Linked DNA regions of Daphnia pulex. The protein of the gene in region 3 purifies or fractionates together with the protein of the main gene of each other region. This does not show direct contact. Links are inferred from orthologs where the notes say so. Each region holds a gene or a part of one and is shown on either strand. Other genes may lie near its edges. The genes, in order: negative elongation factor A-like, negative elongation factor D-like and negative elongation factor E-like.

Region 1 (10,801 bases), on a different chromosome or scaffold from region 3:
AAGACGAGATACCACAGAGATAATGCATCATTTGATGTCTGATCAAAGTCAATCGCGTCAAAGTGGCGCAATAACAAAAAAAACAAAACAAATATATTTGATTACTGTGTACTTAACTCACTCATAGAGACTTAAACAAATTAAAATATACAACAGTATTATACCACTTCATCGTACTCGATGCCTTTTTTTCTTTCCGATCTCGTGAATTTAATCATTTGAACAGGATATATTTTTTTAAAAAACATGTCGGCAACCGAAAGGAAATGGAAGATTGAATAAACGTCAGTGACAAGATGAACGTCTGCCCCGAGTACATTTTCTCCGGATGCTGGATGCCCAACGATTTCAGGGAAAGGATTAATTATTTATTTCCTACTTGTAATATGTGGGAGATTGCATTAATAATGCAACCACAATCAACGCTCGCGTGTATTATTCCCGACTTTTTTATTTTATTTTTTACATTTTTCTAGGCAAGTGACAAGTGAACAATTGCCTCACCCCAATCAGGAAGACGAAACTCAAATTACACGGTCACAACGACAGCGGCAACAATGAGCGAAGGCGGCGCGCGCGCTTCCTTTCCCAACTCATTTTGATTCCGGTCTGGTTGTTTCATGCCTTTTTTCCGACCGTGATTTCGCCGGCGGCTAAAAGCCCCGCAACCGGTTTCCTTATTTAACGTCACTCGATTTCGCCGTAACCCGTGCCAGTCTAGTGAGAACAGGCGAGATGGAAGGACGATCATTTCTCCGCGGAGAGAGCCATGCTATCCACGACGGCGGTGGTGAGTGCCTTTCATTAGACGAAATCTTGAACAAAGCTCTGTCGGATGACCCGCAATTGGGAGAGCGTGAAGCGCTACGGCTGCGCGACTCCGGCCTGTCAATCAGCTTCGCCCAATTGAATAGCAAAGCCAACGAGTTGGCCGCTCGACTGGCGTCGGCCGTCGCCCAACTGTCGACGCCCGTCAGTGGCGACAAGATTGTAGCCGTCAATCTCTTCCCCGATGTCGATTTGATCGTGAGTTTATTGGCGATTTTCAAAATTGGCGCCGCTTACCTGCCGCTCGACCCGACCTTTCCATCCGATCGAGTCGATCACATCCTAACAGATGCCCAGCCCGTTTTACTTGTTACGACTGGAACCATCCTGCGAGCCACGGCCTTTGCGTCCGTCGTGGCCGATCACGACGTCTGCGTCTTTGATCTCGAAGACAAAGAGAATGAAGAGGCGTCATCCAGCATCGTTCCTTTGAAGGAGGAGACAAAGGAAAGCCCGTCATCATCCCAGCAGCCGCATGGTGGCGGCGGTAAGAATCTGGCGGCCGTGCTCTACACTTCGGGATCGACGGGAATTCCCAAAGGCGTCCGTCTGGAACACGCCACGATCCTGCACCGACTGAGCTGGCAGTGGCGCACGTTCCCTTACGGCCCAACGGAGGTGGGCTGTTTCAAAACGGCCCTGACTTTTGTCGACTCCATCGCCGAGATCTGGGCGCCGCTATTGATCGGTCGACCCGTTGAGATCGTCTCCAAATCCGTCACTCAAGACGCCCAGCGTTTCATCGATCTCTTGGATCGATGCAAAATCACGCGGCTAGTCTTGGTGCCTTCCTTACTCAAAGCCATTCTGACCCTTTTGAAATCGGGAGACGGAGGGTGGAAGCAGGGCGGATCGCCGGAGTCCGCTTCCGGCAATCAGCAGCGCTATCCTCTTGAACATCTCAAGATGTGGGTCTGTTCAGGAGAGGTCCTCACTGGCGAGCTCCTTTTAGAGTTCTACGACTGCTTTCCGCCCGGCACCATCATATGCAATTACTACGGCAGCACAGAAGTCATGGGTGACGTCACCTACGCGGCTTTCCGCTCACGCGAAGACGTCCTGGCCTCTTTTATTGATGACAAAATCCCCATTGGTAAGACGGCACTATTAATAACACACATATTCAATTTAAAAATGGTAGGCTATACTCTATAGTATAAAATATTGGATTGCATAACACATCACAGGAAAGCCATTAGATAATTGCGCCATATACTTGCTGGACGCTTCGAGAGATTTGATCAAAGATGGAGAGATAGGAGAGATTTATGTGGCCGGAAGTCACTTGTGTTCGGGTTACGTCCGAAACCGGGAAATGGAACGATTCTTGAAAAATCACGTTGATGACACTCCAGGTGAGCCTATTTACAGCCCACGGCCGTTAAATATTTTTATTCTTATTTTTTTGTGTATGAAGCTTTTTCGGCTTAAATATCTATTTGATTGATTGGTATACGTATATAGGTTATGAAGTCATGTTCCGAACGGGCGATTTCGGCCGAATTCTCAACGATCAGCTTTATTACTTTGGCCGCGCTGATTCGCAGGTGAAGATCCGAGGTCATCGCGTGGATCTAAGTGAAATCAACGCCGCCATCGAATGGAATAAGCTCGTGTCGACCTGCGTCGTCCTGAGTTACAAAGCGGGAGAGCCTGAACAAGTAAGTACCGGGTATATACGTGATGTGATGTAATTGAGTGTCAAAAAGCGGAGGCGTTATTCTTCTTCTTTCTCTATGGGTTTAAAAGGAAATTGTAGCTTTCGTCATTCCAATGGAAAAGGAAATCACTGTTGACGTCATCAAAGATCGGATGAAAGACAAGCTTCTCTCTTACATGATGCCCAAGGTAAAATTCAAGTTCCTTTTACATTTGCTGATTGTTACGTATTTATTTCATTAAAATGTCTTTTGATTGTTTAGCTGGTACTGATTGACGAGCTTCCTTTGTTAGTCAACGGCAAAGTCGACCGCCAGAAACTGATGCAATTCTACGTCGATCAGCGTCAACAACAAAACGGTAGGTCAAATGGTTCACTCGAGATTTGAACATCCTTATTATCGACTATTTAGTAACTGCTGTATCTAATAAACTCTCTGACGTATTTTTTGAAAAAAAGATTTGACAAGTTGTTTAACTATGTGGGACGGAAACGAGTTCAGCCGCGAAGAGAGAGCCCTATTGAAAACTGTCTATTCAATCGTTGGCTCGTCATCGGGCAAAGCCATTCAACTTTCGGACAATTTTTTCGAAATCGGGGGCAATTCACTCAACGCTGTCAATGTGGTAACCAAGCTGAAGGATCAAGGCTTTCACATAGGTAACAACTCTTAGTTACCTCGTTACGTTATACCAACAGGCTTGATTTCTTTTTCGTCACACGTTTCATATACTATTACCTCATGACAGATTTGACCGAATTCCTTGCCGCCTCCAGACTGGAAGATTTGGTTTCTCAACTGTTGCCATCGAAGGCGGCCTGCGGATCAAAGACATCGGATCATCAGTTATCCAATCACACTGTCGAAATGCTGAGCCCGTCAGTCAAGGAAGACGTCATCAGGTATTTTATTTTATTTAGTTATTTTTTATTTCGTTTATAAATAACGACATGTCGTAATGCTTGACGATATTAATCAGGATTATCAGTACAAGTTTCTCGGAGAAAGCCGAATTGGAACTTTTGACAGGCGTCAGTCGTCAGGATTACGAAGTTTTCATGGAGGAACTCTGGGAGCCATTAGTGGCAGCAGACTTGAGGTTGAAGTTCCATTTTAAAAAGACACCATCACCAATTGATTGATTGTTCTATGGGTGCGCACAGCTTTGTTATCCGGAACGGGAGCGGACAAGTAGTGGCCGTGGCCCTGAATTTCGATCTCTTTGACGAGCCTGTCGTTGAACCGAAAGTCCGGCGCTTGGCGTACGTCTTTGAATTTCTCGAGGCGATTGAGGCTCCTGTCAGAGACAAGCACTTTGAAAAGCGGACCAACTTATTGATCCACAGCTTTATGATGGCCACGGCCGAAACCTCCAGTCCATTGGAGAACATCCAACTCATCCAGAAAACGGAGCAAGAGACCCTGGAGCTGGCGATACAGAAAGGCTTTGTCGGTGTTTTCACAACCAACACCAACGAACTAACAAGAGTAACTCGACTTATCCATTTGAGGCAAAGTTTCGTCCCAAAATACCAACTCATTTTCCCTTTTCGATTTAGCAAATTTGCGACGACCTACTGGACTATACTGTATTGTTCGAGTGCCAAGTGAATCAACACATCGCTAGCGATGGGACCAAGCCTTTTGAACACGCTCCCGATACCCAATACTCGACAGTGACTGTCAAATATATACACTAAATTCTCCTTTTCTTTTTTTGTTTAAACAAACGCAAAATTATTTTAAAACAAAAACTGGAAGTCGCGTAAACCAATAGCGACCGGGACTGTTAACGATTTCAATACACATACTTCTTTTTTTTCTTAACAAAGAGTATCGCTTTTTTTATTCGCTTTGAATGATATGAACATGTTATGCATGGATCTGTGTGTATGAGAACTACAAGAAAACTGTACTTTGAAAGAAAGAAAAAAAATGAACAATTTTCAAATGCTGAGATACTGAACAGTATGCCGCCTCTAAGGCTTCAGCTTGGTTTGTGAGATGCGGGCGACACGGAGAGGATAAGGACTGAAAGTCAAGTCGAATCGATAGGAATGAAGAAAAACAGGGAAAGGAATAGTAATGTGCAAAACAGAACTGGAAAGAAGGGACAAGTTGAATCGACTTTGGCACCGAAATATATCAAAACAAAATAAATCCCGTGCCCCACAGTCGGAACAACGCGGTGGGTAGGGGATAGAGGGAAGGGCTTACTTTCTCATCCGCACTCATTTCTCCTCGCCTCTGTCTTGTAACATCCATCCTGCTGCTATTTACACAGAATTTTCAAGTCCCTCTCTCTCTCTCTCTACTGCAACCAGATTCGTTTCCTATTCAGCCCGTCGCTGTGGCCATGACGGTGGCGACCGACGCCGGAGTTTCTTCCGTTTTCCTCATTTTCTTGATGCGTTTCCATTCGCCGGCTGCATAGTTCATCTGGAAATGCGTCTCGACGACCCTGGTGGTGGTGACACCGTCGGTAGCCGTCACAACCTCCTCATCCTCGCTCAACTTGATGGTGACGATGTTTCCCAGATGTGGACAAGGATTTTCTAGAAATATCAGTAAGTAAAGAATGAACATTTCTTTTGTTTTCAAACAGCATCATTCCAATGAAAGTTACCCCGAGAGCCTGCCATGAATCCGAGGATAAGGGCTTTCTCCGGTCGTGTGACTTTGTTGGCGTTCTTGAACATTTCTTGAGCTTCTTGCATTTGCTCGCGCTATAGAAAACAAATGTTGAATTACCAAAGAATCATTCACCATGACTGCAACGACAATTAAAACTTACAGTGAGCATGAGTGCCACACTCTTTTTGGGTGGAGCGGCCGGTTGATTGGGAGTTGCTGCCGCCACTGCGACAGGCTGCCCAGCAGCAGCAGCTGGTTGAACCAACCGATAAACGGTGGGCACCGTAGTAGCAACAGCAGGTGTCGCAGCCGCCGTTTGAGCTGTGACAAGGCGTACCACTTGGGCAGGTGGGGCAGGAGAAGCTGGAGGTAGAGAACTGATTGAAGGAGTAGTAGGCGGACGGACGGCTACCATTCTAGGCGGCTCTTTCAACGGCGTAAGAGGTGGGATAGAAGTGGAGGCAAGTGGAGTGACAGGGGCGGCCGGGGTTGGAGGCGGGTTGCTCGGAAGAAGGCCAGCTGCATAGTCGGGCGTTGGAGTAGGTTTTTCGGGAGTTTCGGGGACACTGCCCGTCTCTGATTCTTCGCCCGAAAGCGGTTGTGCCGGATTTGTAGAGGTAGCCGTCGTTTCGGTGGCTGCTTTTTGGGCAGCTTCCAGTTCTTTACGGGGGGAAAAGAGGCAACAGCGTTAACAAGCAATTCGATAAATATAGCTGGATACGTATTACCTTGTTGTCGTTTTCTTTTCTTCGCCTGAGCAAATCCGATCGGCTGCTCATTGATGTCCAGCAATTTGATACCGCCATCTTTTCTGCCAGCTAACGTGCGAGGAGACGGACGGTTGGGACCAGCGGACGGAGAAGATCCTAGAGCACCGACACTTGTGGGCGTCGTCCCAACGCGCGAAAGTGGCGAAGCGAATCCTCCAATGTGCCGGCTAGGAATGCCTTTCAATGGTGTCGTGTCCGTCATCTTCCTTGGAATTCCTCGTGAGCGCAGTGGTACCGTAGGAGCAGGATTCTTTTTCAAGTTATTTTGGGCGTCGGTGGATTTCTGCAAAAGCTCGGCACGCAGCGCCGCTGACTTGGGTTTCCTCTTTAATGTGAAATGTTTGATGGGGTGGGACTGAAAGAGCAGAGTCAATCGCATATAATGTAACAGGTTCCATTTTGGCGCGAAACGAGATGAGCGTTACCTGCTGGCCGACAACAGTGAACAGTGCTGTTTTATTCAAATAGGGGCATTCTAAAGGAAGCATTCCAGTTTCTCCATGCTTTTTCACTGTAAGTTATGTTCAAAACCATTACGAAAAAGCCACGATGAAATGAATTTAGATTTTTGCCAAGTTACCAAGTTTTCTCAAATCATTTGCAAGATCGTTGAAGATTTTTCTTGTGTATTCATCGGTGGCAGAGCCAATTTCCATGTTGAGGGCTCCGGTGGCTGGGTATGTTTTGAGGATTTCAGCAACCATGGCTACCCACGGATCACCATCAACAACAGCCACTTCCAAAATTTCTTCCAACTCTGTCTTCCACTATACAAGTAATAAAAAACGATTACTTTTCAGAATCTACGAAGTGAAATGACAAACAAGATGGAGAAAAAGACGAAATCAAACTATATGAAGGCCACTGACCTCTTCTAAGTTCCTCCTTGAGAACTGGAAGAATGATAGTAGAAATTTGAGTTTGACTTGTGTTTGCAGCTCGACAAAGCATTCTTGAATGTTCTTCAAAACTTCGGGATTGAGTTGGGAACAAATTGAGCCGCCTGCCCAGGAATCAGTGCTGATACCAAGTTTATTATGAAGCCAAAGTGACGTATCTGAGTCTCTCACGTTGGACGCCATTTTCCGCCCTGTTTTTCTTTTTTCTTCCTTTGCTTTTCTCAAACACAAGGTTTCTTACAGCGAACGGAACAGTGCCCACAAACCAATTTCCCACTACTTGTTTACAACTTTTTCACTGTGAGCCAGAAAATGTCGATGCAGACAGCGTCACTGTGGCGTAGTTTCGGATGAGACCGAAACTTACTTTACCACTAACGGCCGCTAGGGGCGCTGCATGCCTGCCTCTATCTTTTTCGTTGCGCAAATTTGGGCTAGTTGCCACTGATACGATTGCTTGTTAGGCCAAACTTAAAAAAAAAAAAACGTATTTTGAACGACCGATGGAAACGGTCGCGGGAAAATCAAAGATGAAAATATCACAACGATGCCATATATTGTTATTAGTCACGTTTCTCGATGGGATGCTGTGCTGTGACTTGTGAATGGCGGTCGTAGAAAAGAAAAAAGAAAATACAAAATGGTTTTCCCCAAGCGGAATTATCTGTCGTTGAGTACAAGCGTTTGTTTGCGTTGCGATGAATGGACTTTTTCTTTTTTTTTATTTTACCAAAACCGCGTTGTTGGGAAACGTTGCTGCTGTTCAACTCGGCTGACTAGACTACAATGATTCGTTATCGAACAACCAAATAACGGACGTGAATCACTCGTCAGGAGGTCGCTTAATCGACCTAAGTAAATGATGTGCCATTTCTAAAGCTGTAAATATAGTTTCTTGTCGAAACTATTGTGTGTCGAGTGATCGAATGGTCCTAAAAGTACTCAACGCTCTACCATGTCGACCGTAATTGTATAACGAATTAGTCGGAAAACAAATTAAAAATTCCATTGTTATAATCTGATCTTTCGTTGCGCGCGATCGAGTTTCTCTTTAGAACTAACCTGCATTTTAGAATAGAAATATTTTGTTTTCTTTTAAATTTCAAACTTGACGCTGATTCCGTTTAAGACTCAGTGCAAGTATCAAACAACATGTAACGCAAACGCAACACGGATGAAGTGTATACAGTTAATCAATACAATGTCTCACTTCCAAACTCGCCAACTGATTTCAGGCGCCTTGATTCAATTAAGTACTATGTAGTACCTATCATTAAGTTCGTAACCCATAAAATCTCCCGGTGTCTCACTACTAGTTGGGTCTCGGTGCTCCGAAAGCCCGAAGTTGTGTCGGTCAATTCGCACGATTAACCCCTAATAAGGATCGTTGGTCCAATTAGGGCCCAGCAGTATTATTAGCGCAATGAAGTGCGAGCGTGTAATGCACCCAAATCCAAACCACCTTCCGTGACTTATTTCAATACTCAACTCCAATATGTGCTCTCATCTTAAATGTATGTTACACACCCATCTCCCCTTCAACGTCACATCAGTTTTCTATAAATAAAAAGCTTATTAAAAAACAAAAAAAACGTTGAAAAACAAAGTCATCTATTTCCGACGTTCTTCCTTATATCGTCTGGTTGGGTTAGGACAGTTCCGGCTACGATAGAATCTCTTAATAGGAAATTCAGTCGCTCTGATGTCCGTGTGGTTAATTAAGTGCTGAACAAAAGGAGCCCAGCATCAGATTAAATTTAAAAAAAGACCCAAAATGGAACGACTCTGCTGGCTCAGCAGTCGAGAATCTATTATGTAATAACCGTTTTGGGGGAGACAACATTTTGACATTTGAAAAGCACAAAAATCTGGCCTCAAAAAAATAAAAGGGCCATCGTTTAAATATAGTAAAATGAGCTTCCTCCTGTGACGTCGTCTTGTCCTAGTCGCGAGAAGTAGTGCTCCTAAATCTGAAATTCTTAAGTCCGCAAGGGGGTTATTAATCCGCCAGCAGCGATTTGATCTGTTAGGGAAATTGGCAGCGCGTTTCCAACAATCGCAACGAATGATTGGTTATTTGACGCTCGCCGTACATCTATCGCTTCCTGTTGTAACACACAGCAACAGCATCATCATTCTCAGCAGGCGAAATGTAATGAAATTGGTTTTATAGAGCTGTGCGTCGAGCTAGAGCCTTGAAAGTGTAGAGGCAAAATATTTCCGGGGGTTTGGGCGATGAAAAAGCTTGTTCATCCTTATTACATCCGTCTCAGATGTATAAAGTATGTACACACATTGTATCCGATGATAGCCCAAGTCTCAATGAGGATGTTACGTATAGCATCTATAATAGCGATGCGTCTACCACTTTTCAACGCATCCATCCAAAGGCAATATGGCACTGAGGCCGATTTGACGTCACGGATATAAGATTATGTCGGTGGGTGTGCACGGCCAACCTAAATCCATCGTCCAACAACTTATTGCTAGTGCAACTCCTGGATGAGGAAGAGGCGACTCGCTGCTGAGTCAAAAGGATATAGATATTGACTGGATATAAAATAACAGACGGGATATAGCAAGCTGCAAACGAAACACAAACGGATTCACTGTTGTTCGCTGTTGTCGGTTGCTGTATAGCCACGGTTGGCTGTACACGCTCGTCGTTTTCGAGTGGGTTCTGACCGACGACGTAATATATCTAGCCGCGATAGCTTTTCTGTCGATATCAGCTCTAATCGACGGGGTATTATTGTGAATGAGAGGGTCGCCAGCAGCTTTCGTCCGTCGTTCATTGCGTGAAATGCGTGGGAGTATAGTCGGAGAAAGTCGATTGAAAAGGAGACGATTCCTCCGAGAGAGCCACATCACCCCATTCATTCTCTCGTTCAATTGGATTCAATCGCTCATTCCTTGGCTTTTGTATAGCATATATATATATACCACATGTAAGCGTATTTATAGAAACATGTCAATAGGCCAGCAGCATGCAGCAAGGGCCTGTGTGACCTGGCCAGCAAGAGAGGGGGAAGGCGAGTTGGCGACAAGTTTTTCGCCAATTCTCCACTGTCATCAACGAGCACAGCCAGCGCCAAAGTCCGAAAGTGCATTAACGAGTATGCGACGCCGGTATATCTATACGAAATAATGTCCAAGGGAAAATAATTTCAATTACGCGCGGTGAACTATACGAAATTCCTGCATAATAATCCCAAAGAAATGATTATTATTCGCTGAATGAGAATGAAATAATAAATAAATCAAAAAATATTTCCGTTGTATAAGAACTGAAGTATTTAGATATTTAACATAAATCTATACTAACTTTCTCTGACGTGTGTATTTATCAAGTCCCGAACTGATCCCACCACCATCTCTCCTACGGTATCTCTTTTCCGCTCTTTTCGCCCACCAAACATCACACAGACGCACTGCTCGTCTTATTCTTTACCTTTTTTCGTATTGACATAAAGGCTTCCGAGCATGTAAATGTGCTTGTTGATTCGTTGCATACATATATATATAATATATATATAGCACGCCCAGCACGGGAGATGTGTGTCGTGTATGCACATATATTTCGGAATATAATATTGTCGGCGTCCTGCGCACTAGGCTGCGGGGTAAGAAAAAAAGTGTGGATGATGCACATAGAGAGAAAGAGAGAGAGAGCTGGGCGGACTGCTGATCCGATTCAAAGGAAAACCAGATGATACTTTTCTTTGTATCTATGCAATTATTTACGTTGCAGGGCCAAGTGATGCATCAATATCCAAAGCTGATGCTGCTCTCTCTCTGCCCGCTAACAGCGTGCTGCCATATATACCCGCTGCTGTGGTTACCTTTGTTATACAAACCAGCAGTTTCAACGATATTACATGACTGTTGTTTTTCTTTTTCTTCTTCTTCTCCAAAGTTCGAGAAAAACGAAGAAGACGAATCATTAATATTAGATTATATCTACTTAAGTTTTCGTCCCTATGTTGTATATAATTGCTTATTAAAAGCC
Region 2 (10,753 bases), on a different chromosome or scaffold from region 3:
TTTACGACCGGTGCCTCGTGCCGCTGCACAACAAAAAGCTCAGCCCGTTTCATCGATCAACTTTACTTATTCTACGCCGTCTGTTGTCTAGAACACTCCCTCTCTCTTTCAAGGCCCGTTATCTATGATCGATTAAGTGTTTGCGTTTTGGTAATAAAGTTTGACTTATCGTACGACTAGCTCTATAACTACTACCACATGTTTTCAGCAACTTTTCCCTATCCAATAATACTTTCACCATTTTTCATTTGTTATTGTTGGAAACGGACGGACACAAAGAAAACAAAAAAGGACTTACGGGCTTGATCCAATGCTTCCAGCAGAAGGCAAACTCTTGGAAATCCACATAACCGTCCTGGAACAGGTAAATTTTGAATTTAGATTTTTGAAACAGCTACTTTTTGAATTTTTATTGAATTACTTGGTTTCGATCAAAGACGTCAAACATTTCCTGGAGCCGACTTTCCTCGATGGCGTAAGCTTTGCCCTGCTCATTGCGGAAGAGAGTACGACACAGGGCGGCAAAGTCGGACAACGTCATTAACCCGTCACTGTAATAATCATCACAACAACAAATGAAATAATTTTATGTTTTTAAAGATTTTTCTTCTTGAAAGGTGTTGGTGACGTCATTGGCCGAGCGGGGGGGAATTGACCTTCGCAAATGACCGGATCCAGTGAAAACGACCACCCCGTGGAAAGGGCCAATTCACAGCTTGTAAATTGTGACGGTGCGTACGTAGATAAGTATATCTACTCTATATTTGTACCTTAGATATCAAAACGCAAGGCAGTGAGGGGGGGGGGAGGCATTGTTGTGTGAACTGTGGGATCGATAAAGTTGCGTACGTCATCGTTTCGTGACCATCAACTAAGTCACTGGTGTAGTAAATAAAAGAAAATTCAAAGAGGACGTAAGTCTAGTGGGTTGGAGGAGCGCCAAGGTCTACACACAAACGGCTCGACAACTACCGAGTTGCCGATGAGGAAGCGCCGTTGTATTATGTGTATACATATGGAAGGATCGCGTGATTAGAAATTGCTATACCAAGAACAAAAAGAATAAAACTATCCGGATATCCAGTTGTTTTTCTTTTTTGCCAAAAGTCAGACAAGACCGGCCTTATTCAAATATTACTTTATGCAAATTTTCTTCCTACTTTTTTTCTATTCGCGAAAAACTTTACTACATTGAATTTTGTTTTTATTGTCTAGCAAATACTTTCAATATGTCGAATTTTTTGTCAGACAAAACTGCCGCAATGTCCCGCATCGTGCGCTGTCTCAATGACATGAAGTTTGCAGATTTGTTTGAAGGCACGGTTTGCTAGTTGTGCGTCACTTTATTATTATGACGCCTACTATTCTGGAACCTCCGTAAACATGGGGGGGGGGGCTGCATAGAATACGTAACGAGGGGAGGTTGGATGTCTAGTGGACTTGTGACACGAAACTGCAGAGTGTGCTAATTTAAGCGCGCGCTAGGATACCGTACACACAGGTCCCTCCTCTACTATACAAACTTGCCAACGTGGTGTTTGCTCTCTTTCATGCCTGTGCTCACACAACGGCTCAAAGGTCAAAGTCTCACCATCAGCACCTATTTCAACAAACCCAATGCACTTTTTCTTCTTCTTCTCTCCTTTAGATCCTTCCCGCGACTATCAAGTGGCTAAAAATAGCAAACGTCAATGAAACTTTGCTTATCAAATGTGTCATCACAAATATTAGCAGAGTGACATTTCGTGTACGTTTGAGTGCTCACTTTGAGTGCTCGTTTCATCGGACCGACTAATGCAAGACAATTAACTAATCGAATCTTGTTTTTTTCTTTTTTAGGTTTAGGCAAAAATTGGGAGGCTTGTTGTTGGCACCGATCGGTCGATATTTGAAAGGACTGGACGCGCATGGAAAGGTGTCAAGGTAGAAGCAACTTAGACAAACTCACCTGTCTTTATCGAATGCTTTGAAGCAGGCCTCCATGTTTGCTAGAAGAGTGTCGTCGTTGGTGTCGTCGACGGCTGGATGTTGTTGATCCTGATCCAGCAATTGAGCCAACTGTCCTTCGTCTGAGGCGATCAGGTCACTGCTGCTGCTACTGCACGGTTCGGCCATTCGAGCGGAATAGAGGCAGCCAAGGCAAGGCTAAAACCTTTTTGCCACGACTTGAGTAAATAGCTTCGGGTTGCTTTGGTAACCGTGGCACACGGGACAGTGCGGTCTTGTACGTACTAGCACACAGACGGGTTGTAGATATATTATTATAGGCTGTGCGCGCCAGAACTTGTCCCATTTCTCTCCCGACTTCCTTGTTCTCCTTCCCGTGACAAGCCCGTGTACACACAAAAGTTGATCCCCTCATAAAATTATCGAGATTATACAGCCATAATTGAATCAAATGTTGCAATCGCGATAAAATAGCTCAAACTTCACGAATCAACTGGGAAATCGAGTTGGGCGGGGACGCTTAGCATATCCTCGGTAGATCTATTCATTTCTTTTGGGTTTTTAAAATGGACTTGGAAATATTAACGTAACTAACATTTCTATCCATCCATCCGGATGGTATACTTTATTGTGATTGAATTGCCCCAAGCACGATTCTCCCCTTTACATTCTATGCCCAGTTTGACAACACGAACGCTGTCACGACTCGCCAGATGGCAATCAACGGGATTCGAGAAAGAAGACTAATGCTAACGTATATACACACACACACACCCCACCTATTTGTTTTGTTAGACTTAGATTCCCACCCTTTCGACGGCCTGAATTATATATGAGCGCCTCACGGGGGTCATAGAAAAGGGTAACACAACAACAAAACAGTACTACTAACCCCGAACTTTGTCGTCACGTCCTGTACAACTGCTGACTGGCTCCCACAAAATCGATTGCATCATCATCGTAATTATCTTATGCTTTTGAAAATGTGTGACGACGATATGCAGAGACTTGATACGATGAGTTTCTTACGTGATATTTGGCTTAAAGTAATGAGTTTGCGGATAGATTTCGCGGCATAGTATAGTCTCGCTTTTTTATTTTTATTTTACCTGATGTCAGTTTTAACAGTTGCTCCTCTGTCGTTTCTCACAGCGTGGTGTTAAACAAGAAGAAAGATTTTCACGGCTGGCGGCGCGACTCTACAGCACTACACTATTACTTTTGTAACCGAGTTGTGTTTTTTTTTTAAAGAACTTGCACAGAACGGACGAATCAATACACGCCAAAGTTGAACAAAATATATGACGGAATTTTCAGTTTTCACCGGCAGCCTGAACTAATGACGACGAAAGTAGAACGCAACTTCCGGTGCATCCATTACTGTCACGATTTCACACATTTCTTTTATAATGACGAGCGCGGCAGTGTACGATTTAGCAAAATTTTTGCAAAAATAATTTTTTAATGGAATTATTGAAATTGTTTAATAGAAAAAAGGAGTATTTTATAAAAGAAATATGAAGCATAATTTTTCACATAAAATGGTTCAAACGGATTTTTTCATCTAGAAAATCGTGCCCCGCACTTGAAACGCTAAAAGTTAAAATTTTGATAGAAACTTAACCAGAAAATGGAATTAAACATGTTTTTATTCATTCAACTATAAGAGACCAGCACTTGGGAGAACTATAATGAGAGAGGGATTCTCCTCTGCCTCATTTCATCAACCCATTCAGATAACAATGTTTTGGTTGTTTTAGGTACAGTCTCCAAGTAGAAATGTTGAGGAGGTGTTCCTTCTTCTAAGCGGACAAAGTAATGAGTGTGGAAGTAATGTATTACTCCAACTCTTCCTTTGGCATGCCTGCGAACACCCTTGTAAACAAGTCCCTTGGTAGCAAAAGATTCAGCTACCCACAAATTACTTTTAAACTCAACATTGTGTTTCTCCACAGCAAGCTTCTGGGCCTCCAACAAGGCTTCTTTTACATGGACAGCTCCTAGCTTATTCACGAAGCTAAGTTGTTTGAGAGCTTCATCAATGGACATCCCTCTTATCATTGATGCAACATACCACATCTTAAATGGGCTATACTTGATGTTGGTCCTCATGTGGCAAACATACTGCAAGATTTAAATAGTTCAACTTATTGGTTTTTGCTGAAAAAAGGAAATGCTCAATAACTTACTGCTGGTCTTCTTTCCTCTCCAGGTAACTGTGGAGGAAACATTTTCTTATTATAGATTGGCCATTTTTGGGGCCCTTTTTGCTGCTGTGCCATTGAAACATTTGTTGTGTGGAGCAAAGCTTTGCCAAAAGTTTCATTGACTAAAGATAAAGAAGTGGCATGATTAATTGCTGGTTGAAAGCTTTTGCAAATGGAAAGCAAGTTTCTGTTTTGAAATTGTCTTAACAAAAACTCCATTTTCCTGCAATAAAAATATCAATAATTAGAACAGAAATGAAAATACATTAGGATTGTTATTATTTACCTAGTTTAATATGTTCTTTTGAAGTTTTTTGTTAGACTGGACTTGTGCAAATGGATGGGAGAAAAATAATAATTCTGATTGCAGACGAATCTTTAAGCAGACGCCGCCTGACGCGCTCGTGACGCTTGTTGTTATAATTTGAACCCGTCGTTTCACATCAGGTTTATTAGATATTTAACTCGTGTGGTTTGATCGAATGAAACAGTTACTGATTCCGTAAAATTTGACTTGGAAATGGATGACGGCTACGATAATCAAGAATGGGGAGAAAGTTCGGGAATGAGAGGGGATTCCGAGATGGGAGACGTAAGTTTTACATGTTTCAGTTGTTTTCTTTACATCAGTAATACTTTACTTTAAGTGGTTTGGTTAATGAATATTTGTATTTTCGTGTAGTCTGACAATGAGGACCAGTACATGGAAAATCCTGCAGAAGTTTTAGAAGAATGCCTTCAAACGTTCAAAACACAGGACTACATCATGGAACCCGGCATTTTCAATCAACTGAAAAGGTTACTATTGTCATTTCCACTATTGACGAAAGAAGCTAGATTGATGTTTTTTTCCTACAGGTACTTTACAGTTGGTGGAAGCCCAGCCCATGTCATTGAACTACTCTCCCAGAACTACTCTGCCTCAGCACAGATGGCTAATCTAATGGCAGAATGGCTCATCTTAGCTGGGGCAACTATAAATGATGTACAGTCAATGGTAGAAAATCACTTGAAAGAAATGATCATCAAAATGTTTGATCCAAAGAAAGCTGATACTATTTTCACTGAGGAGGGAGAAGTAAGATAACACATATTTCAAACTTAAGATTTTCCTTCAGTATTTTCATTCATCCAATTATTTATTCAGACACCAGCTTGGCTTACTGAAATGATTGAACATCCCACCTGGAGATCACTGGTTTATAAACTGGCTGAGGAATATCCTGATTGCCTTATGTTGAATTTCACCATTAAGGTATTGATATCCATTTTATAATATGTATAATTTTCGTAATTGACGAATTACTTTTGTAAATTCGTAGTTGATTTCGGATGCAGGATTTCAAGGTGAAATTACGAGTATATCAACTGCAGCTCAGCAAATCGAAGTGTTTTCAAGAATTTTGAAGACTTCGGTTGGCCAGTACTCAGAAAGTAATGATGACGACAGGCAAAAACACATACAAGAATGCGCTGTAAGTAGACATGATTATTCGAATGTTGCAATATCGAAGTTGTTATTAATGCTCTGTCAAATTTTGACAGCGGATGATTTGTCATGGGCAACATACTTTCGTGTACAGTGAAGTACTGTTAAATGTTTTGTCTCAAGAACCTAAAGGAGGCCCTTCAATCAAAAGACTATCACAAGAAATTACCCGTCACGCGATTCAATCGTTAGTATTTAAATTCCACTAGGCCATTTTTTTTAGATGGAACAATAATGTCATCAAATGCTTTATCATCGGACAGGGGTCACAATGTCACTGCCATTATTATGGGTCTTAATGGGTCAGCGGCGCATCCGCGTGCCAGTCAAGCTTTATCCTCAATGCTCTCTCGCAACGCTTTGAATCCAGCCGATATCACGAATTTGTATAAACTGTATTCGGCAACCGATCCCCCACCGGTGGAGTTGATCCGTTTACCTCAGTTTATGGGTATGATATTATTCTTGTTTCGTGCGATTGTAAAGGCTAGAAGATTTTGATTTTTTAATTCACGAATTTTTGTAGAGCTGCTCCTCGATTCACTGTTTAAGCCTGGAGTGAAGCTCAATCCTGAGCACAAATCAAAATACAACTATCTCCTTGCTTACGCTGCCAGCGTGGCTGAAGTGTACAAAAAGAATCAAAGGAAAAACACGAACCGAGATGAATTAAAGGCCACCATGCAGGTATACTGTTGTTAAAAATGCCAATCGGAAAAGCTAAATAATGTTTATTTATTAGGCACTCGAGAAGGCTCATCAAGTTTGCACGACAGCAAAAGGATCAACTGAATTAATAGCTGAGCTTGGAACTCTGTATCAGTACATCCGTTTCCCTGTGGTCTCTATGGGCGTATTTCGCTGGGTAGAAGCGACTGTGTTAGAGCCCTCCTACTTTAAGTTGAGCACCGAACACACCCCTGTTCATTTGGCGCTTCTCGATGAAGTGGCCGCCGTGAATCCTTTGCTCCACTCAAATATCCTCGACTTGCTGGTACGACTTTTCGAGTCGAGACAGGATGAGTTGGAGATTCTCGTTCAACTGGAAATGCGTAAAATGTTACTTGATCGTATGGTCAATTTGTTAACGCGTGGTTACGTCGTCCCTATTGTCAAGTACATCAAACAGTGCTGGCAAAGAGGTGACACGGATATTTCACTGATTCGGTACTTCGTCACAGAGGTAAATGCCAAACACCGTACCTTTGAAGTTCCTGTAATAATTTGAATATGATTCCCAAGGTACTTGAATCGATTGCCCCACCCTACACATCCGAGTTCGTCCAACTATTCCTTCCGATGGTTGAAAATGAAGAAATTACTGGTACAATGCGTGGCGATGGTGACGGTGACCTCGTCTCTGATTTCATAGGTATTTATAACATTTTCGACGGGATTTGAATCCTTACAAGTATTCTTAATGAGGCATTCCATTTTTCTAGTGTACTGTAAGGCCAACTACGTCGTGGTTTCCTAATAAAGCGTTACCAATTGTTGGATGTTGCGACTCATAAAAACAAACAGTTTCGCTCGACGCGGATATCACTTCCAATTTGTTTTATTTTCATCCTTTCTGTGCTCATAAAAATAAATCGACTGAAATTGCTGATAATCAAGTGGTACTGCCCGTAGTGTTGGCCTGTGCTGAGCGTGCAAAGTGAACAACCAGAGGTTTGCCTTGAAGCATCACCCAGTTGGTATCGTTGAGGGCTTCCTTTGCTCGATCTACATTTGGAAGGGTGATGAATGCCTGACCCTTCATCCTACCTTCGGTCATTAGGCGAATGTCGAACCTAGATTTAAAAGATTAACTACTTAGCTACTCGTGTCAAACATCTGTTTTATGTTTTGTTTTTATTCTTACATGTTTCGTTCTTCTTCTGACGTCCACAAGACATAACGGCCATAGATGTGCTTCAGGTCGGATTCTTTTACGGTTTTAGCCAAGTTCTTCACGTAAAGTCGTGAACTAGGAGCACCAGCCGAATAATTCTTGAAGACAGGAAGAAGTTTGATCTCTGTAAGGTGCAAAGCTTTTTTTAAAATGTTCATTGTTTATTAACATGATAAATTTCTAACCCTCATCTTGAAGTTTGTTTATCTGAAGTTTTCTTCTGGAGATAAATTCGTAATCTTCTTCCTGATTTTCTAGAGCTTCACTTTGCTGTTCATTTTGGCTCGGAGGAAGCGGAGCAAATGTTCCGAAACTTTCTGTTGTTCCTTGTTGCGCTTCGGTTGACTGATCACTTTTGGCATGAAGAACTTCTGAAGATATCTTAAACTCAAGTTTCTTTGCTGAACTTATTTCTTTCTGTTCAAATATTTCTGAAATAGTTTGAACAGTTGGCAATGCAGGTTTCACTTTAGCAGGAATCACTGCTGTTGATGGGTTGATAAGCATTTTCAGCTTGTTAGGCCTTTTCAATGGTTTAAGCTTCTTATGTCTGACAGCTACATCAGGAATGACTTCTTTTTCTCCAGGTATAGAAGAATCAGTTTCCAATTCTGATTCTTCTGTATCTTCTTTGTACAACTCTTCCATTTCAACTTCTTCAATATCAGATGGTTCAACTATAACAACAGGATCTTTTGGCACTTGCAGGAAAGGTGGAGGTAAGTTAATACTCTTCATGAGTTGTAAAACTTTGTGATAAAAATCATCATTTCGTAGAAGTTCTGCTGCAATATTGTTCACTATCTGTTCATTGGCAGGAGGATACTTAACACCATTATTCTTGCCAGCTGGTTTCGGTGCTGGTAGGTTCATCTGAGGAATGTCTGGCAAGATTGTGAAGTCTGCATATTCTGCAACAATCCTCTTACCTACCACCTTCAGCTGATGCAAGCGAGTTAGTGCAAATGATGCATCCTCATGTGAATTGAACCTTTTGCATCATCAGGTTGAATGAAGAAAACAAATTATTTCTTTCACTTGAATTAGTATTTTATATCTAACTTACTTGACAATAATAGTGCTGTTCCTTTGCCTTCCCTTTGGTGTTTCTTTCCTCACAGCTTGAGCACCAAAATATCGGAAAAGATCGTTCAAATCTCGCTCTGTTAGACATTCCGGTAGACGGCGCACGATCAGTGTATCGGGGGTATCGGGCAATGTAATGCAAGGTTCCATTTCTACTTGTCTATTTGACTACGACTTTTACACTCTCTATTAGTTGATTACTTCACTGTAACTCTTTCGAGTCTCTTTTTCTTTTCAATCAGTGCTTACAATTTGCCCTTGATAATTCCAAACGGATGTTCGTGACTCAACAAGCTGAGGTAAAAACTTGTGTGATGATTTCTTCGAATGAAGCAATAACCGAAATCAATAGAGCAACCATAGAAATGTTGAAGAGGAGATGAATTCGTAGTCCAGTTTACTCTTGTATTTCCGGGCGCAACAAGAATAATCTTAAGAAAGAATTGGTGGCGCTGATGTTGTTAATTTCTAAATTTTCCATTATTGCTGTTTAGGGCTTTTTCAGAGTCCCGTTCTTTACAAGGCGTTCGTTGAATCAAGTAGTAATCTTACCGGTTATATTGACATTCATCCATCACGCACTTACTGCCCTGTACCCTGGGTGTTTTATATCATTTTGAAACGTGGCATATCTATTGAAAACCAAAACACATCATTTGATCATTAAATTCGTTTTGGTAGGTTATTCCATTTACATGGAGGGCGTTTCTACTTTCAAAAATAATAATCGATGATATTGTAATGAATCTACGACTACGATGTTATTGATGCAGTTTATTCGTACGAAAATGTCTACGTGCTAGATCATATGTAGACCATTTTGCGATAAAGAGTTTTCGGAGAAATTGTTTTTGATACTAGAGGTCCTTTCTTTCTTTCTTCTAGGAATTCTGGCTAGTAATCTACACATGTGTTGATTTCTAAAACTTAATGTTGGTGAATTTTCAATGTTTGCATCAGTTTTTTCTATTGAATTCATCAAGAATCTTTTTGTAGATAGTTGTGTAATCCCATATTAATATCTTATCATGTTTTTCAATAGGTTGATTCTGCAGAATGAAGAGTACAAGAGTATTAATTCGAGCAAAGGGACGTGGCCTATGCATTGAAAGAGGGTTGTATGATTGTCTTCAAAAGGAATTGTTTGCTGATGTCACACTTCACTGTGATGGAGGAAAGATCCGGGCAAATAAAGGTGTCTTGGCTGCTGCCAGCCCAGTTCTTTGCCATCTTCTTAAGGATTGGCCTTTAACTGATGATCCTTGTGTTATCATGGCTGGCTACACGTAATATTTCAATGATCAAATTTATGTTTTTTTTTTTAAATGTTTTTTCATTCTCTTTCATGAAATATGCAGGTTAGATGAGGTACAAGGACTTATTCGCTACATCTACACAGGGCAACTTTCTGCACCCAGGATTCAAGGATCATCCTGGGAAAAGATAATTGGAGATTTCAAAGTGGGATCTCCTATAGAGCATGATGATGATTTAGCAAGCATACATGAATTGACTGATTATGGTGATGCCTCACCAGTGGTAAAGAGTTCTTTCTTTCTTTTACTTAAAGTATAAATTAATATGATGATTACTTTTTTTTTTAGTATGAGCCTGAAGCTAATGGGATATGCCATCTGCAACACCCACAACACCATCCAAATCAACATCCACAACAACAAACATTTCACAGCTCGCCAGTGAAAAGTCCAGCTAAGGGTGTAGGTCCAAAAATTGTAGCCGTTACCTCCCCGCGTCCTTTGATCGTACAAGTGCAAAGCCTTACACAACCACCCATGAATCAAGGTCTGGATTCAACCAACGATGTCAACGACATTCCGAACGGTAATATTGCGTTACAAGAAAGAAAATTTCTAAGAAGTGGAAAAAAAAACCAAACAAATAATTGATTGTCGAACTTTATCTGGTTAGAGATGACTGTCGAAGAAGGAAACGGAGAACCTTCCCCTGAAGTCGCTGTACCTTCGGTAGTAGGAAGACGAAAGCTTGGACGTGGGGGGAAGGTGTTAAAACGGCTTCAAAGACGGCAACTGGAAGAACCGCGCACGTTAACAGTCGCTCCTGTTTCAGTTGCAACTCTTAAAAAACTCGCGCCTAAAAGAGCGAAGCCTT
Region 3 (10,107 bases):
TTTTCCAACTCTTCCCACCATGGGGGTTGTAGGAGACGGAGAGACGGTCGGGTGATCCAACGCTCGACGTCCGGATTTTGTCCGATGGTCCGAACGAGGTACTGTATAGGTTTACTGGATATTTGGCAGATGACGCCTTCGACAAAGACGGACAACTGCGGATGATCGTCGACACGGAGACACACCCTGGCGCCCAGTGTCAACTGGGAAGGTGAAGGACTGGCATCGCTGACGACGTCAAATTTGCCGGCCCGAGTGACATCTGAATAGAGTGTCGGCTGCTCGTGTCCGTCCAGCTGGACGAGAACGTCACTGTGTCCGTGACCACTGCGGATGACTCCCGTCAAGTAGCGACTGCCAGATTTAGCCAGGACACGATGGCAGCGCCATTCGTTGAGATCGACGTGAGCCGCTGGAGGAGTAGCGACTCGAGGAAGAAGAACGGGAGGACTGCTGCTGCTGGCCGTCGTCAAAGCTGCTGGGATGGTGGCTACTACTACAGACGATGAGATCACCGAGCTCGATCCCGCTGCTACTGCTGCTGGCACTTGGGAAGAATGGTTGTAATGGCGAGGCGACGTCCGATCAGCCGATTGTTCGTATTCGGCCGGATCGAATTTTCGCTTTTTGGGCACGCGACGGGCTACGACCGCTGACTCGTGTTGGTTGGACATGGCGACGGCGGTTCTGCACTCGTCGATTATTGCACTGCAAGTCCCAGCCGGGTACACTGTCTGACTGGGGGGTGGTGGTGGTGGCACTAGAAGACGGGCGACAACGTCAGCCGACGAGCCGCCCACTGATTGACCCTTATGGCTAATAAGACCCTTGCCGGCGGCCGAATGCTCCTGCTTCCGTGATCTGGTCTCCACTCTCCTCTGTTGCATAGTTTAGCCATTCACGTAGCCAGCAAGCTCTCACCTCCTAAAAAATAAGAAACAGACAAGTTTTTTTAGAGTGGTTAATATATACATTGACATCACATTTATATTGAGCGTTTTGGGTGGGGAGAGAGAGAGAAATCCAACGCCATGGAAAAACATTTGAGATAAGAGAAAAAAAAAGGGGCGATAAGGGGCTCGGGTGTAACGTGGCCGATCAAAGACCGAGAAATAGAAAAAAAAATGTTGTTGCCATGCGACCACACAATATCCATATCCAAAGCACGCATCATCTGTATTCGTCGGGTTACGCACGTCGTCGTCGTCGACACTGTGTGTCTTGACAAAGGTCGGCCACAAGGCCAAAGCTCAACTTCCCACAGGGCTTTTCGACCCTGCGCCTTTCGGGCTTTGTAGTAAATGAGAAGAGGCTGTTGCACTGTGATGAATGCGCGCACCGTAGTAGTAGTAGTAGGGGAGAAAAGAGGTTAAACACAGCCCCCTCACTAAAAATAGTTAAAAAATGTGTGTTTCAGGAGCGACGTGTGGCATTCCGGAGGAAATGAAAAAAACAAAAAAGACTAACGTTCTCGCGTGTGGATTCTTTATATACATAAAACATCACGACCTAGGAATCCATCAATGGATTTTGTTTTTAGTTCGGCCATCTTGGAGAGTATAAAAAGGGAAAAATTTCTTCCGCGCCCTGGAGGAGGCTTCCACGGGTCCTTGGACTCGCTTCTCTAGCTCTTTCTCTCTACATGGTTCTTCGAGTGTACCGGTTGTCAAGGTCGTTTGCTTACGCTACACGCACACACACAGACTGAGAGAGGAGGGGAAATGGGCATCGTGAGCCAATGGGATAGCTGCCAGATACAAACAATTTATATGAAAAAGAAAAAAAAGGTGACGGGACCGGACAAAGAGAGAAGCTTGGGCTGCTGCGGTTGTGATGAAAGGCCGTGAGTTGGCAATTCATCCCGTTAGCCTTCCAAAAACATATCATAAAGGCGAATGAAAAACCTCAATTTCTATCCGTTCGACCGACTGTGACATTTTCCAACTGAAAGTTAGGGGGGGGGGGATAACAATAGTGGGCGGTCCAGTTATGTATCTCTTTTGATGTGAGAGTACTACAACAGAGTTTAAAGCAAATAATCAAGTTGTGGGCCCCACAACCGGATGCGCCAAAATGTACACCTACACACACACACACACCGATGTAGGCGTCACAACCTGTGTATGTGTTTGCTTAAGCTTTCTCCCGGCTGATAACCCCATTCCTATTGCTCACGACATTTCAAGAAAAACAAATTCAAATCTGATTGGATCGTCATATGTATAAAATATAAGATGGCCACCACGGCGAAATGGTAAAGAGATTGTCGTGTTTGAACACACACACACACACACACACAAACACACCAAGTTTAGACAAGTCGAAGAAAGAGCAGCTCAATCGAGTCAAGGCCGTCCATGGCGCCACCACCGCACACAAAACGCCAACAAAGCACACCCAATTCTCTCTCGGCCAACGAGAAAAAAATGGAGAATTTTCGTTGGGCTTTTTCGTCGTGTTAAACCAAGAAAATGGCAGCAGTTGTGTAAGCCTTACCCTCCATTCCATGGTAGCATGTGGATATTATTATTATGTGGCCAAGTAAAACGGTCGATGGCAAAACTATCGGCGAAAGAGGGAGCCACAAACACTTGCACTGCACGACGACACGGCCAGATGAAGACTGAGTGTATACCGGTTCACCAGGGCCCTATCTCTGCTGCAGGCGGAATGGCGGATGGGGAGGGTCCTAGAAATTCAGAGTCGGCGCGCGCCTACAATTCTACTACACTCGACATCTTCCAAAATAAAAACTTTTTTTTTTTCACAGAATGACCGAACTACACGCCAGTCGACTGATTTTTCAGACGCCAGCAGCAGCCCATTTCTTATTAATATGACAGGGCAGAAATTGTGTTCTTCTGATCAACAACTATGACCTCATCACACACACACACTGGCACTGTGGCACATCATTTTTTGGTCGTCTTTCTCAGTTGAATTGTTTTCCCACCATGACCGAAAATAATAGGGGAAAAAAGAACCTGTACAGGGGTTGGTGGGGAAAAAGCATTTTCCCCTTTTTACTTCTTTTCAAAAGAGGCTGGGGGTCCCCATTGTTGTGTCCAACCCAAACCAGAAGAGGGAGAAAGAACCTTACTATAATACTACTACTACTACACCGCCCACTCGATGGTTCTCCTGGGCAAGTGTCTCTACTATATTTTTACTACTATTTTGCCCTTTTTTGTGTGTCTGTGTCTACTTCCAGGGGGGAAAATGCGAGTCGAAATGGAACAAAAGAATCGTCGTCTCTCCCTAACTCGAAAGGAGAGAACCTTGAAAGTTTCTCGAATAACTCGAGGGTTGAAAAAACTCTCTAGCTAGCCGGCACTTTGGAAAATAAAAGACAGATTGCGCAACTATTGACAGTTTTACTCACCTAGCCTGTAGTGTATCGTGTTGTACTATCATGAGGCCGGCAAACGGACGGGCTCTACTACACACCTGCACAATCCATAAAAAGAATCAAGTAGGAGACAAAGGTGTGAAAAAATGTTTGTAACCTTGACACATCACCACTGTAAATTATACCTAGGCTCGTATCGACGAATGATGAGAACAGCAGCAACTGCAGATGGATCGATTTTTCATTCAAGCTACACACACACACACACACAGTCTCGTTACACCAGTTTCTCGTACTCGAATCTGTCTATTCTCTCCCCCTTGGTATACTCACGTCTGACGGCTACGGCGGCCAAGGATCGTGAATGGCTGGAATTTCCGTTTACGAGGCTCAGACACGTGACCTAAACACTTGTGATTGGATTGGTCCTTTTGAGGGAAAAAAAAATGTTCTGTTACCAGGTCCCTTGCTATTGTTATTTACGTAAGAATTCCACAGGCGACATCTAACGTCGAAATCTACAACTCGTCCTTGGGCGGCGTAAACAACAACGAAATTTAACGTTAAATTTGCAAAACGAACGAACAAAATCAAAGTCAACGCTTAATAAAATGGTTTATCTTCATTTCCCCTCCAATTTGACAGAAGAGGAATTAATGCTGCAAACTAAATATCAAAAACTTAAAAAGAAGGTGGGTTGCATGCAAATAGTATATACCTTTTACTATTTTACTAATGAAGTATACTGGAAATAGAAAAAAGCTTTGCAAGCACTGAAAGCACCCAAACCAGAACCAGAAAAAACACCTGCACTCAAAAGACCTGCAGAAGCAAGAGACGCCAGAGAAGTGGCTAAAAAGCTCTTGAAGTCCGGAGCCATTTCAGCCATTCCAAAACCTAGCGAGAAAACAGAAACTACTGGATTCAAAAGATCAAGAGGCTTAGAAAGAAAACTTTCCTCTTCTGATCGAGCACCAAGTGGATTCCAACCGTTTTCTTCAAGTCAAGGAAGTATGGTTTCTAATGAAGAACATGTCACACATGAAGCTAGAACCAAAAGCAAGGTAACAACAACACTATCCAATCCAAATAACTGTGTTCAAGCATTCTCCTTTCTGCTTAGGTTCCCAATCTCTATGAAAATTTCATTTCTTCAAGAGAATCAGATGCTGAACCAGCTTCAATTAGTCCAACAAACCCCAAAGAAACACCTACCTCTCCTGCCATTTCTCCAGTGAAGCACCAGAAACCTACAGTGGGGCACACAGTTTATGTAATCATTTCTTGGCTGTAGATTTTTGATGAAATGTGTTGATTAATCACATTGTTTGCCATTTTTAGGTGTTTGGCTACAGCATTACAGAAGAAATCCTCAAAAAAGCTTTCCAGTCTTTTGGAAATGTTGTAAACATTTCAATGGAAATTGAGAAAAAGTAATATCTTCTATTAAAGCAAACAGTAGCAAAATATTAAATACCTTTTTGTTCTCAGTTGCGGGTTCGTTACGTTCGACAAAACAACTTCAGCAGACAGAGCCATCAGTGAAGTATGTATAGAGAATTCCCTTAAAAAATCTACTCCTCACTTTTGCCTATTTTACTAAAATAGACAAACAAAATCCTGTGGGTTTTAAATGCTTTAGTAGTTGACCAAATCGTAATGGGAATTTTTATACCAAGTTTCTTGCCCAATATACCTAGTGGGAACTTTTGGCTCGTAGTAAATTTATTTCGAAATTTAAAAAAGGCGTTCCAGGTTGTTAAGCGCACCAGATTCTATCGTCACTAAAATTTCCCCTATGACGAATGTAATAATGATATACACTGCCATTGTTTTTCTTTTGTGACTGAATACTAGATGAATGGTAGCATGGTATCCGGTATTCAACTAAAAGTGTCACTCGCAAGGCGTCAACCTGTCATCGAACCTATAAACGATGCAACATCATCCGCTACGTGGTCCACAATAGGTTAGCCTTATTTTATTGAGCTTTCTAGTTTTGATGAAATGTCATTTATTTTTGTTTTCTCCATTTCAGCGGCTCGCAATTCTCAGAAAGGATCCTATAAAGATAAGCGCGATTTAGTGACATATGAAGAGGAATTGTTTTAAAAAGTAAATCATCACAGTACAGGCGGTTCTATGTAATTGTAATTTTCTCGTGGTGGATGTACAGTGATATTTCATTTTACATAAATTTCCCATCAGAAATACATGGAAAAAAACAAAAACAAGTTTTATTTTTAGACGGGCACCAAACGAGAGAATATTTAGCTTCCCGGATCAAATCTCTTTTTTTTAATTCCCCCCAACATTTATATACGATAAATTGCCTCTTTCCATCCCCTTCGCCCCCATTCCAGAAAAGTAATTTTACCTTGAAACGATCATAACGACGTAATAATAACATTAGACTCTTCGGGGCATTGCAAACGGAATTCTGTTTGTTGTTGAGTAATCACATAGACAGCGGAATGCGGTGTGCGAAGGTGAACGATTTTCCCGACGTTCAAAGTGCATAAAGTATTGATTTTGAAAGAATATTATGGAAAGAGGGGACAAGAATCTAGCTCCATTTGTCAAGCGATACGTATGGAAGGGGAAAAATATATCTCAAAATCGACAGACGCAGACCTATTAGCTTATAACAGATAAATGCTTTGCGTAAATGTCTGCAATCATGTCTCAATATGCGTTCTGATTAGAGACGTTCATGAATATCGTGCAACAGAAAAAAAATCAACGGAAAAAACAAAATAAAGTCGCAAATTGCAGGCCCTGCCTTTCAGCAACTAAAATAGACGATCGTTAAAAACTTAACAGAAAGGTGGGAAATGTAAAGACGGGGAATGTCCTGTCATATCACTGGAAAAAATGTTAAAAAAACAAAAAAACAATGATGATGATAAGAAAACAAAATTAGGTAACACACACGGCTCACTCAAACTGGTTGCTTGCGACTAGCACGGTTTCAGAGACGACATTTGACAACGCAGGCACGCACGCACTCGCATACACACACACAGACACACACACACACATAAACAATTGACCAAAATATACACCGCGTTGAACGCATTCAATTTCGGCTAACGATCGGAATGGATTGCAAGAGCAAGCGCGTCCAGGCTATCGTTCAAATGGATAGGTTTTGTCATTCAATCACACAAATAGAGACCACATACTCACGCGAGAGGAATAGGATGGGATTAGTTTTTACATGCTGATACAGGCAATCAGCTCATTACATATACGATCGTAACGGACATAGTCTCCCGATATACGACGGATTTTCAACCCTTTTAAACCTTCTGGGCCAGCAGGTGGGCTGACTTCGACAGCGATGTAAATGTCTTCACCGGGTCGTTCGAGTAGAAGCGCGGCATCGTTCTCCGTTTGACATTTCACCAATCCTGACGCCTTGGTGTGAATCGAGCGCTCAATCAAGGCAAAGATTTCGGCAACCGTCAACTGCGAGCAGTCGGAGGACAGCTGCACTTCGATCGATCCGCTGGAAGATTTGTGCAATTCCGGATAGGCAGACATTGAACTGATATCACCAGCCAATAATGATGACGAGAGCACGTCGTTCTGAAGATTCTGCAAACCCACCTGACGACAGGTGCCGTTCTTTCCGCTCAGATGAGCATAGACGCTCCATGACATGTCAGTCACTTCGCCCTGCTCATCCGTAATGGAGATCTGAGGGTGAGGCGGACCGGTAAATATCGGCTTTCTTTCCACCTCTTGTTGGCACGTCCATTCGTTATCGGTTCGATTTTTAAAATTTCTAACACTCAAATCCAAAGCCTCTTCCGCTGGACTGATATCGCCTTCGATCGCATCCGATTCCATGTCCTCCACTTCAATCATCCGATTCACCGGTGTTCCTTGAGTTATGGACCCGCCTGCAAACGTTGAAATCGGCATTAACGTTGGGGTTTGATTAGCGAAGACGTCCAGATTATTTGGCACTGTCGGAAGATTAAATGGAGTTCCTTGAATGATGGAACCTCCTTGGACTCGTGGCATCGCAACCGAGTTCTGAGAATTTTCTATGTTGAAGAATCCTAGTGTAGGGGTCGCTGACCCAAGAGATCCTTGAGACACAATTGGCGTTCCTTGAACGATTGAACCCATCGGCCGGCCCGTACCTTGCACTATGGACCCGCCACTGTTGTTTCCACAACAACCAGACAGGACCCCGCCGACGGGCGGAGACTGGCTGTACGACTGTAATAAGGAGGACTGCGGTGGTGGCGGTTGCTGCTGCTGTTGTTGAAGTTGCAACTGCTGGAGATGCTGAGAAAGATTACCACTTTCACAACACATGTGATTCAGGTAGTGCGGTGAACCGATGGCACAGAAATCCGAAGATACTGGTGATGTCGACGTGGGCGGTGGCGTTGGAGTCATTCGCGGAGACATTTGCTGTTGCTGCAACTGTTGCCGTTGTTGTACGTGAATAGCATGTCGCATCTGCATATCGTTAGTATTGCTGCTTACCATCTGACGCTGAAAAATGAAATGAAACTTGTATAGGATACGTGGAACGGACATTTAGGATTTTAATATAAATACTTGTAAAGCTTGGTATTCTTGATGTACAGCTTTAAGCTGAGACGCAGAGGAAACATTGCTGGATGCGGTATTCGGATCTTCACCATCCCTTTCTGACATTCGATACTGGCCAATCGAGGCACATCCGTCACTTGCTCTTCGTGGATGCCGATCCGATGGCAACGTCAACACATTTGTATCCGCTCTGGCCGAACAGTCACGACCTGAGTAAAATGAATGTGGGGATTAAAAACTGGAGACGAACAACAACAATTAGTTTAACGATGAATGTTAGAAAAACATTGAGGCGATTTCTAAGTGAATAACAGACAAGGGTTAAAACAACATAAATACATATGAATCAGGCCAGTGTGTACTGTTTCATTCATGATGCAAAACTGAAAACTAATTTTAGCCTTAGTCTCCAGGATAATACTCGATTTAGAGAACAATACCTAACATGGGACCAGCCCGTTCCACTACAGTTGCCAGTCCTGTACGTCGACTCTTTGGGGGACGAGCTTGAGTATTTGGAGGCACACCTACACAGTTATTCATGCTCATGCTTGTAGAAGGAGTGGGGTTGCCTGGAGTGAGACTAGGCGGCGTGTACGGGAGGTGGTTCATTCGAGCTTCAACTTCATTTATTAGCTCAGGGATCACTAAGAGTATTTTAGAATCGAAATTCAAAGGAAAAGGGGCAAAAACAAAAGTACACGTCCAGCATAGCGAGAAGAAACGAAACGGAAATGAAGAAGGGAAAGGGTAGAGGTAAAAAATGCAAATAAATTAGAATAATGAACAAAATAATAAAATAACAAATTTTAAATAAGAAAAATGCTTCTACAAAATTGTAATTACAGAAATAAATAATAAAAATAAATTTGTAACAGGCAGTTTCAAGACTAAAGCCAGTTAAATGATAATTTAAATAACAAGCAATCTTTAAATAACACAAAAAATAAAATAATCTGCTCGAAATTTGAATGGGCCACCTACCTAATGGTCGATGCATGGGCATCAAACCCTGTTTACGCATTCTGGGTTGGATATTTTGAGTCTGTTCCTGATTAGCCATTGGTAAGGTATGCCTCTTTCCTCTGTGTATATACCTTTAAACGTCAATTTAAAAATTAAGTGTATATGCAAATTAGGAGATGTACAACACCAAATACCTCGACAGTTCCCCCGAATTTGAAGAATCCTCCAGTTGTTCTGTAGCTTGACTTCCTTGTGCAGCATGAGACGAGGTGGAAGGGTTGTTTATGGCCAACGGGTTGGATAGCTGATGCACCGGATTCATTTGCATGGCCTGTTGATGCTGCTGTTTTTGCTGTTGCACAGTACTCCAATCACTGTGCTCTATATTCTTCTGAAAGAAAGTTAGCAGATTAGCACCACCATCCGAGGCTCGACGACCAAAACCGCCCGCTGCTCCCATTGCTGGTGGAGGTTTTAACAAATGTGGATCCTTGACGCTGAAGTTGTGCGGGGGTTCATTTTGTAATAGAGGCAGCATCAGCGGAAGATTAGTGTGCGGCAATAGCACCATAGGATGATGAGAAGGTGAGGCAAATGGAGCTCCTACAAAAATTGAAGAGACGGAATAATGACGGTTAAACATATTACTCAGTAATTGGAGATAGTACCATGATGCATACCAGTTGCGTGCTGTACTCCAGAGACGTTAGGGAACTGAGCATTTAAAGTCGATGGAACAGCAGTTGGTGAACGTACACTCAATTCGAAATTTGGTAGAAATCCTTGGCGGGAATCCATGACAGTATTCAACCCCGTGAACTGATCCATGTGGGATGGTAGATGGAATGGACTATAACCAAGACCAGTGAATCCAGTCACAGGGTAAAACGAAGGAGTTCCTCTTGCACCGAAATGATCGAGTTTTAGATGTTTGACCATCACTTGGTCGTGTGTTGTTTCACTCGGTCCAACAGTGTGCCGTCTAGTAGCCAAATTCCTTTCGCCATTTTGCTTGCTCGGTCCCTCATTTCCGCTCGTGGATGCCCTCGGTTGTTTGGGTTCTTCTAAATCCATATCAACAAACTAAAGAAAAACAAATTCAATCAGCACCAACCTTACCATATTACTGAAAACGGAAACAGCATACTTTCTCTAAATGCTGGCTATCACTGAAGCTTGGCCAGGTTGCAGTAAGAGCTGTATTTTGGGTCAAATCA

The links.
Region 1: the proteins of negative elongation factor E-like (region 3) and negative elongation factor A-like purify together in Homo sapiens (affinity purification with mass spectrometry; 9 studies listed by BioGRID and IntAct, counting the BioPlex papers as one, with this or other methods). This does not show direct contact. The link is inferred for Daphnia pulex from reciprocal best matches to the Homo sapiens genes NELFE and NELFA.
Region 2: the proteins of negative elongation factor E-like (region 3) and negative elongation factor D-like purify together in Homo sapiens (affinity purification with mass spectrometry; 9 studies listed by BioGRID and IntAct, counting the BioPlex papers as one, with this or other methods). This does not show direct contact. The link is inferred for Daphnia pulex from reciprocal best matches to the Homo sapiens genes NELFE and NELFCD.

Annotation. Positions count from the first base shown.
Region 1 is NC_060020.1:1,896,247-1,907,047, forward strand, and holds negative elongation factor A-like, read right to left. Parts: upstream 7,133-10,801; 5' UTR 6,976-7,132; coding exon 6,763-6,975; intron 6,661-6,762; coding exon 6,474-6,660; intron 6,405-6,473; coding exon 6,319-6,404; intron 6,249-6,318; coding exon 5,852-6,248; intron 5,784-5,851; coding exon 5,284-5,783; intron 5,216-5,283; coding exon 5,116-5,215; intron 5,045-5,115; coding exon 4,827-5,044; 3' UTR 4,362-4,826; downstream 1-4,361. Other genes in the region: tyrocidine synthase 3-like, read left to right, coding at 736-1,921, 2,016-2,183, 2,293-2,489, 2,578-2,676, 2,751-2,847, 2,948-3,148, 3,238-3,391, 3,469-3,588 and 2 more. UniProt on the Homo sapiens protein: Essential component of the NELF complex, a complex that negatively regulates the elongation of transcription by RNA polymerase II.
Region 2 is NC_060027.1:2,126,150-2,136,902, forward strand, and holds negative elongation factor D-like, read left to right. Parts: upstream 1-4,605; 5' UTR 4,606-4,674; coding exon 4,675-4,746; intron 4,747-4,836; coding exon 4,837-4,952; intron 4,953-5,012; coding exon 5,013-5,232; intron 5,233-5,301; coding exon 5,302-5,409; intron 5,410-5,476; coding exon 5,477-5,629; intron 5,630-5,699; coding exon 5,700-5,830; intron 5,831-5,906; coding exon 5,907-6,094; intron 6,095-6,169; coding exon 6,170-6,330; intron 6,331-6,385; coding exon 6,386-6,826; intron 6,827-6,885; coding exon 6,886-7,015; intron 7,016-7,085; coding exon 7,086-7,120; 3' UTR 7,121-7,255; downstream 7,256-10,753. Other genes in the region: uncharacterized protein LOC124207899, read right to left, coding at 299-355, 422-551, 1,949-2,115; 39S ribosomal protein L22, mitochondrial-like, read right to left, coding at 3,634-4,071, 4,137-4,373; RNA-binding region-containing protein 3-like, read right to left, coding at 7,256-7,436, 7,508-7,661, 7,723-8,528, 8,604-8,773; zinc finger protein 62 homolog, read left to right, coding at 9,680-9,909, 9,982-10,162, 10,228-10,465, 10,553-10,753. UniProt on the Homo sapiens protein: Essential component of the NELF complex, a complex that negatively regulates the elongation of transcription by RNA polymerase II.
Region 3 is NC_060021.1:9,949,149-9,959,255, reverse strand, and holds negative elongation factor E-like, read left to right. Parts: upstream 1-3,869; 5' UTR 3,870-3,960; coding exon 3,961-4,041; intron 4,042-4,104; coding exon 4,105-4,413; intron 4,414-4,472; coding exon 4,473-4,622; intron 4,623-4,690; coding exon 4,691-4,782; intron 4,783-4,840; coding exon 4,841-4,895; intron 4,896-5,206; coding exon 5,207-5,318; intron 5,319-5,387; coding exon 5,388-5,461; 3' UTR 5,462-5,514; downstream 5,515-10,107. Other genes in the region: protein capicua homolog, read right to left, coding at 1-887; serine/threonine-protein kinase SIK3-like, read right to left, coding at 6,566-7,864, 7,931-8,133, 8,365-8,571, 8,909-9,021, 9,085-9,493, 9,559-9,973, 10,038-10,107. UniProt on the Homo sapiens protein: Essential component of the NELF complex, a complex that negatively regulates the elongation of transcription by RNA polymerase II.